Macaca fascicularis: one gene and its partner. The protein of the gene in region 2 interacts with the protein of the main gene of each other region in a pairwise test. Links are inferred from orthologs where the notes say so. Each region holds a gene or a part of one and is shown on either strand. Other genes may lie near its edges.

What was found.
Region 1: the proteins of CPT1B (region 2) and TEX44 interact in binary tests that used the Homo sapiens proteins (3 or more experiments, as listed by UniProt). The two-hybrid records come from large-scale screens. The link is inferred for Macaca fascicularis from reciprocal best matches to the Homo sapiens genes CPT1B and TEX44.

What each region holds. Positions count from the first base shown.
Region 1 is NC_088386.1:127,507,709-127,511,982, forward strand, and holds the start of TEX44 (testis-expressed protein 44), read left to right. Parts: upstream 1-1,414; 5' UTR 1,415-2,202; coding exon 2,203-3,441; 3' UTR 3,442-4,274.
Region 2 is NC_088384.1:988,709-992,513, forward strand, and holds part of CPT1B (carnitine O-palmitoyltransferase 1, muscle isoform), read left to right. Parts: intron 1-76; coding exon 77-262; intron 263-848; coding exon 849-954; intron 955-1,034; coding exon 1,035-1,151; intron 1,152-1,648; exon of another isoform or gene 1,649-1,731; coding exon 1,732-1,896; exon of another isoform or gene 1,897-2,008; intron 2,009-2,089; coding exon 2,090-2,224; intron 2,225-2,322; coding exon 2,323-2,475; intron 2,476-2,960; coding exon 2,961-3,074; intron 3,075-3,689; coding exon 3,690-3,782; intron 3,783-3,805. UniProt on the Homo sapiens protein: Catalyzes the transfer of the acyl group of long-chain fatty acid-CoA conjugates onto carnitine, an essential step for the mitochondrial uptake of long-chain fatty acids and their subsequent beta-oxidation in the mitochondrion.

The DNA of each region.
Region 1 (4,274 bases), on a different chromosome or scaffold from region 2:
CTGAGCTGAGGCATGAGAATAGCTTGAACCCGGGAGGCAGAGGTTGCAGTGAGCCGAGATTACGCCACTGCACTCCAACCTAGGCAACAGAGCAAGACTCTATCTCAAAAAAAGAAACTGGCCCATTTGGGAAACTGGCAATCATCTCTGTCTCCCGGTGATTTGGAACCTCAGTGTGAGTGACCCCACCTTGACGTTTAGTCCAGTCTGCTGGGGCCTGGTGCAGGAGCCTCATCCGAAGCAGTAGCCTCCTATAATTTCTATTTAGCAATTGTCTGACACTAAGGAAGAAGGTCATCTGGGATGGGCAGCCATCATTCTCTCTAGGACTCCTTCACAAGCTACAGGCTGTACTCATTGGCCCCTCACACTCCAACAAGCCTGGGTTTGCCCTGTGACCTCTGAGGTGGCGGCAGGGTATCTGCGGTGAAAATAAACACTCAGTGAGCGAGGAGCCTGGTGTCAGAAGTGCAGCCAGCCTCAGAGGGTTAAGGTGGAGGCCGGCTGGGCTGAGTCAGTAAAAGGAGTCTGAAGGGAAGGCCTGATCCCAGAGCAGTGGAGGACGGAGGGAGCCAGCCAGGAGAGGCAGCAGGAGAGAGGACAAGGGCAGAGAGTTTCAGGGAGGGGAATTTTCCATACACGTATGACCATGCTGCTGATGGTACAGCTCAGCGCTGACAGCAGCTGTCACCTGCTGGTGTGGTGGAACCGGTTCTAATGGGAGGCCTCTGCCTGCGTCAGCCAGCATCATTACCATGCCAGTCATTAGATATGTCTTTTTTCTTTTTTAAGGCACAGGATCTCGCTCCGTCACCTGGGCTGGGATGCAATGATGTGATCATAGCCCACTGTAGCCTTGAACTCTTGAGCTCAAGAAATCCTCCTCCTGGGTCTCAGCCTTCCCGGTAGCTGGGACTACAGGTATGCACCACCATGCCCAGCTAATTTTTGTTTTTTTTTTGTACAGACAGGGTCATACTACTTTGCCCAGGCTGGTCTTGAACTCCGGGGCTCGAGCAATCCTCCCACCTTGGCCTTCCAAAGTTCTGGGTTACAGGTATGAGCCACCATGCCCAGCCCCTCATTGAACATTTTTAATATGCCTCCTGGGTAAGAGAGAGTGCTGGAAAGCTTAGTATTGAAGCCAGACAGGGTTCAAATCCCAGATTCAGCTCTTATTAGTAGTGTGGCTTTGAGTAAGTCACTTATTCTCTGTGAGGCTCAGCGTGCCTGTGTGTAAACTGGTATACTAGTAGAACGGTACCTACCCAGAGTTGACGGATGATGGGAAGGATGCTACGCGCCTTTTCCTGCCCATAAGCTGTCACTAAATGTTAACCAATAACCCCTGGAGAAGCACACACACAACAGACTGAGTCTTCCTCTCCAACCATCTTCCTAATATAGGTTTTTTTTTTTTTTTTTTGAGATGGAGTTTCGCCCTTGTTGCCCAGGCTGGAGTGCAATGGTGCGACCTCGCCTCACCACAACCTCTGCTTCCCGGGTTCAAGCGATTCTCCTGCCTCAGCCTCCCAAGTAGCTGGGATTACAGGCACACACCACCACGCCCGGCTAATTTTGTATTGTTAGTAGAGACGGGGTTTCTCCATGTGGTCAGGCTAGTCTGGAACTCCTAACCTCAGATGATCCGCCCGCCTCAGACTCCCAAAGTGCTGTTATTACAGCGTGAGCCACTGTGCCTAGCTAAGCACAAGTAGGTGTATCGAACTCCTGACCTCAGGTGATTCCCCGACCTCAGCCTCCCAGAGTGCTGGGATTACAGGAGTGAGCCACCATGTCCAGCCTAAATTGGGGTCTTGAGACACCAGTATAGACAGAGAGGTGCCGGGAGGGGTCCCTTATAAACACTGTTCTAAATCAACATCTGCATCCCTTCTCATTTGTCAAAGTCACAACTCTCACTCCTGTGGCCCTGTGGCTGTACTTGCCCCTGTACACAAGCCTCCAGCCCTTTCCAGAACATTTGTCATTTTTTCCCTATGTACCGGCAAAGTTGGCAACAAACTGTCCCGTAGACTTAGCCCACCTGGAAGGCTGCTCCAGAAGCTCAAGACCCTTGCTCTACGGGTACCTGTGACATCACCAGTGGCCACAGTCCCTTGTGACCTCACCACTTGGACAACTCAGCCCAGCTGGGTTGCAGCCACTCCCTCCAACTGCCACAAATAGCAAAGGGCATAGATGACCCCAGGAGAGCCCTCGGGAGAGGCCGGCTCCACCAGCAGCCCCACACATGGCACTCCCGGGTCCCCCCTGGGCAGCGTGGCTGACAGCGTGTCTAAGGACAGCACAGCAGGAGGGCCCCAAGGTCAGGTCCCACTCACAACAGATGTCTTGGCGGTGAGCAGCTCTGCCGCATCCACCGACCAGCAGGATATAGATCAGGCCTCCCTCAAGACGGCCACCCCCGAGGCCATGTCAACATCTGGAGACAAAGACAAGGGTGCAGTTGTTCCAGAACATGGCCAGAAGACACCTGGAAAAATCACACCTCTGCTTCCCAGCCAAAACCCAAGTCCCCTGCAAACATCTATGAGCCTTGAGAATCCAACGTGGGACAGGCAGGTTCAAGACACAAGGACAAGTCAGAGTCTAGTGGTTTTCCCAAGTCACCTCTTGGGTAAGGACAAGACGTCACAAATGGCGAGTGTTCCTGAGAGAGAGCCGGAGTCAGCCCCCTTGGCCCCCAGTGCCGAGCCACAGTTCACCCAGCACACGGAGGCTCAGCCCGTCGGGAGTGATGCTGACCACGTCACCGCAGGTGTCAATGGCCAGCATGGCCCTCAGGCTGCCAGCACCACCAAGGCTGCTGAGGAGAAAGCTGAGCATCCAAAGGCCCCATACCCTGAAGCTGAAGCTTTGCCATCTGATGAGTCCCCAGTGGCAATGGGGGCAAATGTGGTGGATGGCTTAGGAGACCTGCAGGCTTGGTTCTTCCCTCCACCTCCAGCAGGCAGTGTGTCCCCATCACCTGGCCCCCACGAGGTGGCCCTGGGGAGGAGGCCCCTGGACCCCAGCCTGTACATGGCCAGTGAGGAGAATGGCTACATGTGCTCCATGACCAGTCTGCTGGGCAGGGGCGAGGGCTCCATCAGCTCCCTGGCAGACATCCTGGTGTGGTCCGAGACCACCATGGGCATGGCCATAGCCACAGGCTTCCTGGACTCCGGCCACAGCACCGTGGCAGATCTGCTGCACAGCTCGGGGCCCAGATTGCGCCCGGTCCCCAGCCTGCTGGGAAGCGTCAGCTCAGCCTTCTCCTCCGGGCTGATGTCAGGGACTGGCTCAGCCCTGCGCACCCTCACCCATGTGCTGGAGACAGTGGAGCAGAGGACGGTGGAGGGCATCCGCTCGGCCGTGCGCTACCTGACCAGCCACCTCACCCCACGCCGGTTCCAGGCTGACCCCAACTATGATTAGATCCCTGCACAGGGACCCCCGAAGCCCTGGCTCAGTGACCTCCAGAGATCCCTGGGACCCTCACACCCTGCTCCCTTGCCCATTCTTGCTCTGGACGGTTCCCCCAGCCCATGCAATAAATCACCAGCGAGCGTTTATTTCTAAGCACCAGCCTCCTCCCTTGGGATGCAGTGAGCAACAAAACAGTGACAGGACAGGAGGGCTCAGGGTGTGGTGGAAACAATGTCTCCTGAGGGTTTCTCAGGCTGTCCCATTCAGGGGCTGGGGGCAAATGTGCAGACACAGAAGAGCCTGGGCAGAGCTGGGGGCAGTGTGGTAGGGGGTATCTCAGACCTGCAAAAACCCATCCCCACTGAACCTCCACCCAGGTAAGCTCTGAGGAGCCTTCCCTGGGGCCTAGGCTGGCCCAGCAGGCTCAGGCTGAGAGGCACAAGAGGCTGTACCATTGACAGTGCTGAGTCAAGCCATGTGGGTTCAAACCCCAGCACCAGCACTTGCTCTGGGCGAATCACGTCACTCTCAGCCTACTTAGCTGTAGAAAGGAGAGAATAAATCCATACCGTGACGCTGTTATAAGACAGAAGGGAAGCGATGCAGGCCATAATGCATGGTGTCTGGCACTTGATAAGCCCACACATGGTGGCTGCCATTATCATTATCCTCCGATGAGCTGGGGGTGCAGGGGGAGCAGGAGTCTAAGCAAACCGACTGTCCCGGTTTGCCTCGGACTAAGGGGGTTTCTGGGTTGTAGGACTTTCATATTTAAAACTGGAAAACCCCAGGAAAACTAGGATGAGTTGCTCACCTTAGATCCAGGTCTCTTTACATGGTGG
Region 2 (3,805 bases):
CAGGTCCAGCCAGGCCCTCGGAGGCACCCTCATCCCAAGTCCATGTGCCCACTGCTTACCCTGCCCCGTGCTGCAGGGTGGAGTGGGCGCAGGCACGCCAGGCCTTCTTTAGCTCTGGAAAGAACAAGGCTGCCTTGGAGGCCATCGAGCGTGCCGCTTTCTTCGTGGCCCTGGATGAGGAGTCCTACCGCTATGACCCCGAAGACGAGGCCAGCCTCAGCCTCTATGGCAAGGCCCTGCTACATGGCAACTGCTACAACAGGTGCGGCTGCCCCCGCCCCACAGGTCACAGCTTAGGGTTAAAGGTTAGGGTTATGGTTAGAGGATTGAAGATAAAAGGTAGGTTGTGAGCTGGGTGCGGTGGCACACACCTGTGATCCTAGCAATTTGGGAGGCCGAGGCAGGTGGATCACTTGAGCACAGGAGCTCAAGACCAGCCTGGGCAATGTAGCAAGACCCTTTCTTAAAAGTAGTTAGGATTGTGATTAGTGGTTAGGTAGGGATAGTGGTTAGGATTAAAGGTTAGGGTTTGGGTTAGAGAGTAGGGTTAGAAGCCGGGCGTGTGGCAGGCACCTGTAATCCCAGCTAGTCAGGAGGCTGAGGCAGGAGAATCCCTTGAACCCGGGTGGTTACAGGGAGTCAAGATTACACCACTGCACTCCAGCCTGGGCAACAGAGCAAGACCCCATCTCAATTAAAAAAAGAGAGAGAGAGAGAAGAGAGAATAGGGTTGGTGTTAGGGTTAGTGTTAGGGTAACATCCGAGTTAGGGTTAAAGGTTGGGGTTGCAGGTCAGGCTTCTCTGGACATTCCCAGCTTTGGTTCTTCATGTGTCTACTCTCCCCGCAGGTGGTTTGACAAATCCTTCACTCTTATTTCCTTCAAGAATGGCCAGCTGGGTCTCAATGCAGAGCATGCGTGGGCAGATGCTCCCATCATTGGGCACCTCTGGGAGGTAATAGCCTTGCAGAGGGAACCTGCAGGGCAGGCTGGAGGGGATGAGGCCGGCCTCTCAGCCTCATCCTCTCCCTGCAGTTTGTCCTGGGCACAGACAGCTTCCACCTGGGCTACACGGAGACTGGGCACTGCCTGGGCAAACCGAACCCTGCGCTCCCACCTCCTACGCGGCTGCAGTGGGACATTCCAAAACAGGTGGGTTGGAAGCTCCCAGAGCAGGTGTGAGACCACAAAGCAGCAGGCGGGTACAACCCCAACAAGGCCTGAGTCCCCCTCCTCCTCCTCCTCCCCTGCTGGCCCCACCGCCTGACTCAGCCCTCGGGAAGGCACAGGGCACATCTCAGGATACCCGTAGAGTCCAAACTGGCTTCAGGGAGGACAGAGACCACCCACTGCCCCTGGGGCCATCTGTGTTTAGAGAAGGCCATGAGATGGGGGCGGCACTCACAGGCCCCTGGAGCATTTTCAGCACTTCCCTCTTCCCCACAAAGCTCAGCCCAGCCTCTGGGGGCTGATTCTCCCTCAGATTGTCTTTTGCATACCCTCCTCCTGAAGATGTCTTGGCCAGCTGTGCCCTTCCTCCACCAGCTAAATGTCATGCCTCCTAGACGTGACCCAGAGTCCTGCTTGGAGAGCCCTGCCCTCAGCTGACCCTTCCCATGTCTTGGCCGGCTGTGCCCTTCTTCCACCAGCTAAACTTCATGCCTCCTGGATGTGATCCAGAGTCCTGCTTGGAGAGCCCTGCCTGCAGCTGACCCTTCCCATGTCTTGGCAGTGCCAGGCGGTCATCGAGAGTTCCTACCAGGTGGCCAAGGCGCTGGCAGACGATGTGGAGCTGTACTGCTTCCAGTTCCTGCCCTTTGGCAAAGGCCTCATCAAGAAGTGCCGGACCAGCCCCGACGCCTTTGTGCAGATTGCACTGCAGCTGGCGCACTTCCGGGTAGGGCCCCACTCCCGCTGCTGAGAGGGCAGGGCGGTGCCAGGGTCTGCCTGCCAGATTCACCCCTCTGTATATCCCAGGACAGGGCGCACTGCAGCTGGCGCACTTCCGGGTAGGGCCCCACCTCCCGCTGCTGAGAGGGCAGGGCGGTGCCAGGGTCTGCCTGCCAGATTCACCCCTCTGTATATCCCAGGACAGGGGTAAGTTCTGCCTGACTTATGAGGCCTCAATGACCAGAATGTTCCGGGAGGGACGGACGGAGACTGTGCGTTCCTGTACCAGTGAGTCCACAGCCTTTGTGCAGGCTATGGTGGAGAAGTCCCACGCGGTGAGTGTCCTCTGCCCCGCATGGGGGCCACGGTCGTCTGCCTCCTGTCTACCTGGAGGGTCAGGGCTACTCTTCACCCCTTTACTTCTGCCCCACAGAAAGCAGACCTGCGAGATCTGTTCCAGAAAGCTGCTAAGAAGCACCAGAATATGTACCGCCTGGCCATGACCGGGGCAGGGATCGACAGGCACCTCTTCTGCCTTTACTTGGTCTCCAAGTACCTGGGAGTCAGCTCTCCTTTCCTCGCTGAGGTCAGCACCGTTGTTGGGTGTGTCCTTTGTCCCACTGCCCTCCTACACCCAGGGCTTGGGCCATCTCATGAGGGAGCACGGCCTGTGTTCTGTCTGGCTGGCTCCCCTGAAGCTCCCTGGAGGGCTGGGCCAGCTTTCCTGCCCACACCCCAGCTGGGCCTGCGGTCCTGGGCCCAGCGGGAGCAACATCCTCTTCGTGTCGTTGGTGTTCTTGTGACAGGGAACAGACAAACGTATGATCTGTCAGGTGGTGACAGCACTACTGAGACTAGTGAGGCTGTGGCGGGGAGAGGCAGAGCAGAGTGGGGGCCGGGCAGCTCACACAAGCCTTATGTGGCATGTGCAAAGGGGACCACGGGGTGGTGGCCAGGGAGCTCCTGCACCCTCAGCAGAACCGTGCCTGGCTCAGAGTACGTCGCAGACACCACCTGTCGGACAGGTGCTTTGGGCGTGTGGCATCTGACCGGCTGCGGCCTCCATTGCAGGTGCTCTCGGAACCCTGGCGTCTCTCCACCAGCCAGATCCCCCAATCCCAGATCCGCATGTTTGACCCAGAGCAGCACCCCAATCACCTGGGTGCTGGAGGTGGCTTTGGCCCTGTGAGTGCCCCTGAAGGGGGTGGGTGGGCAACACCAGGGCCCTGAGGGTTTCAGTGGCGAGTGCAGGCCCTGAGGTCAGACCAGAGGCAGGAGCACCTTGCTTAGAGCCTTGCTTAGAGGAGAGCATAACCCCAGACCTGCACAGAAGCAGAATGTTAGCTGTGGACTCAGGCAGCCAGGTGCCTGCGACCCACCCATCCCAAATACCTCCCTGCTGGAGCATGACGGTGCCTGGGGCTGTTTCCAGGGTACTGAGCAGTGCACTGGGTGCTTCTGAAGTCTGCTTATCCAAGAGAGTGCAGCTGTCTCCCACAGAAGCCTTCTCGTGGGCTAGTTTGTCAGAAGGCTAGAGAACCCTCTGGAGAGAGGCAGCGTGATCTAGAGTATAGGCCCCCTGAGGGAAACTGGGGGGTCCTAGATCCCTTGGTGGGGTCTGGGCAGCATTCTTTGGTTTTCACGGTTTCCTGGGGGTGGTCCTCAGGAAAAATGCAGTGTCTAGGGCTGGGGCCCGTTCCTGCAACTCTTGTGGGAAGAACAAGTTCCACATCAGCTTGGTTTTCGGATCTTCAGGGTTTGAGTTCTGCCCTTCTCCTTCACCCTTCGTGTTGCCCTTAGGTAGCAGATGATGGCTATGGAGTTTCCTACATGATCGCGGGTGAGAACACGATCTTCTTCCACATCTCCAGCAAGTTCTCAAGCTCAGAGACGGTGAGTCGGCCGGGCGCGGTGGC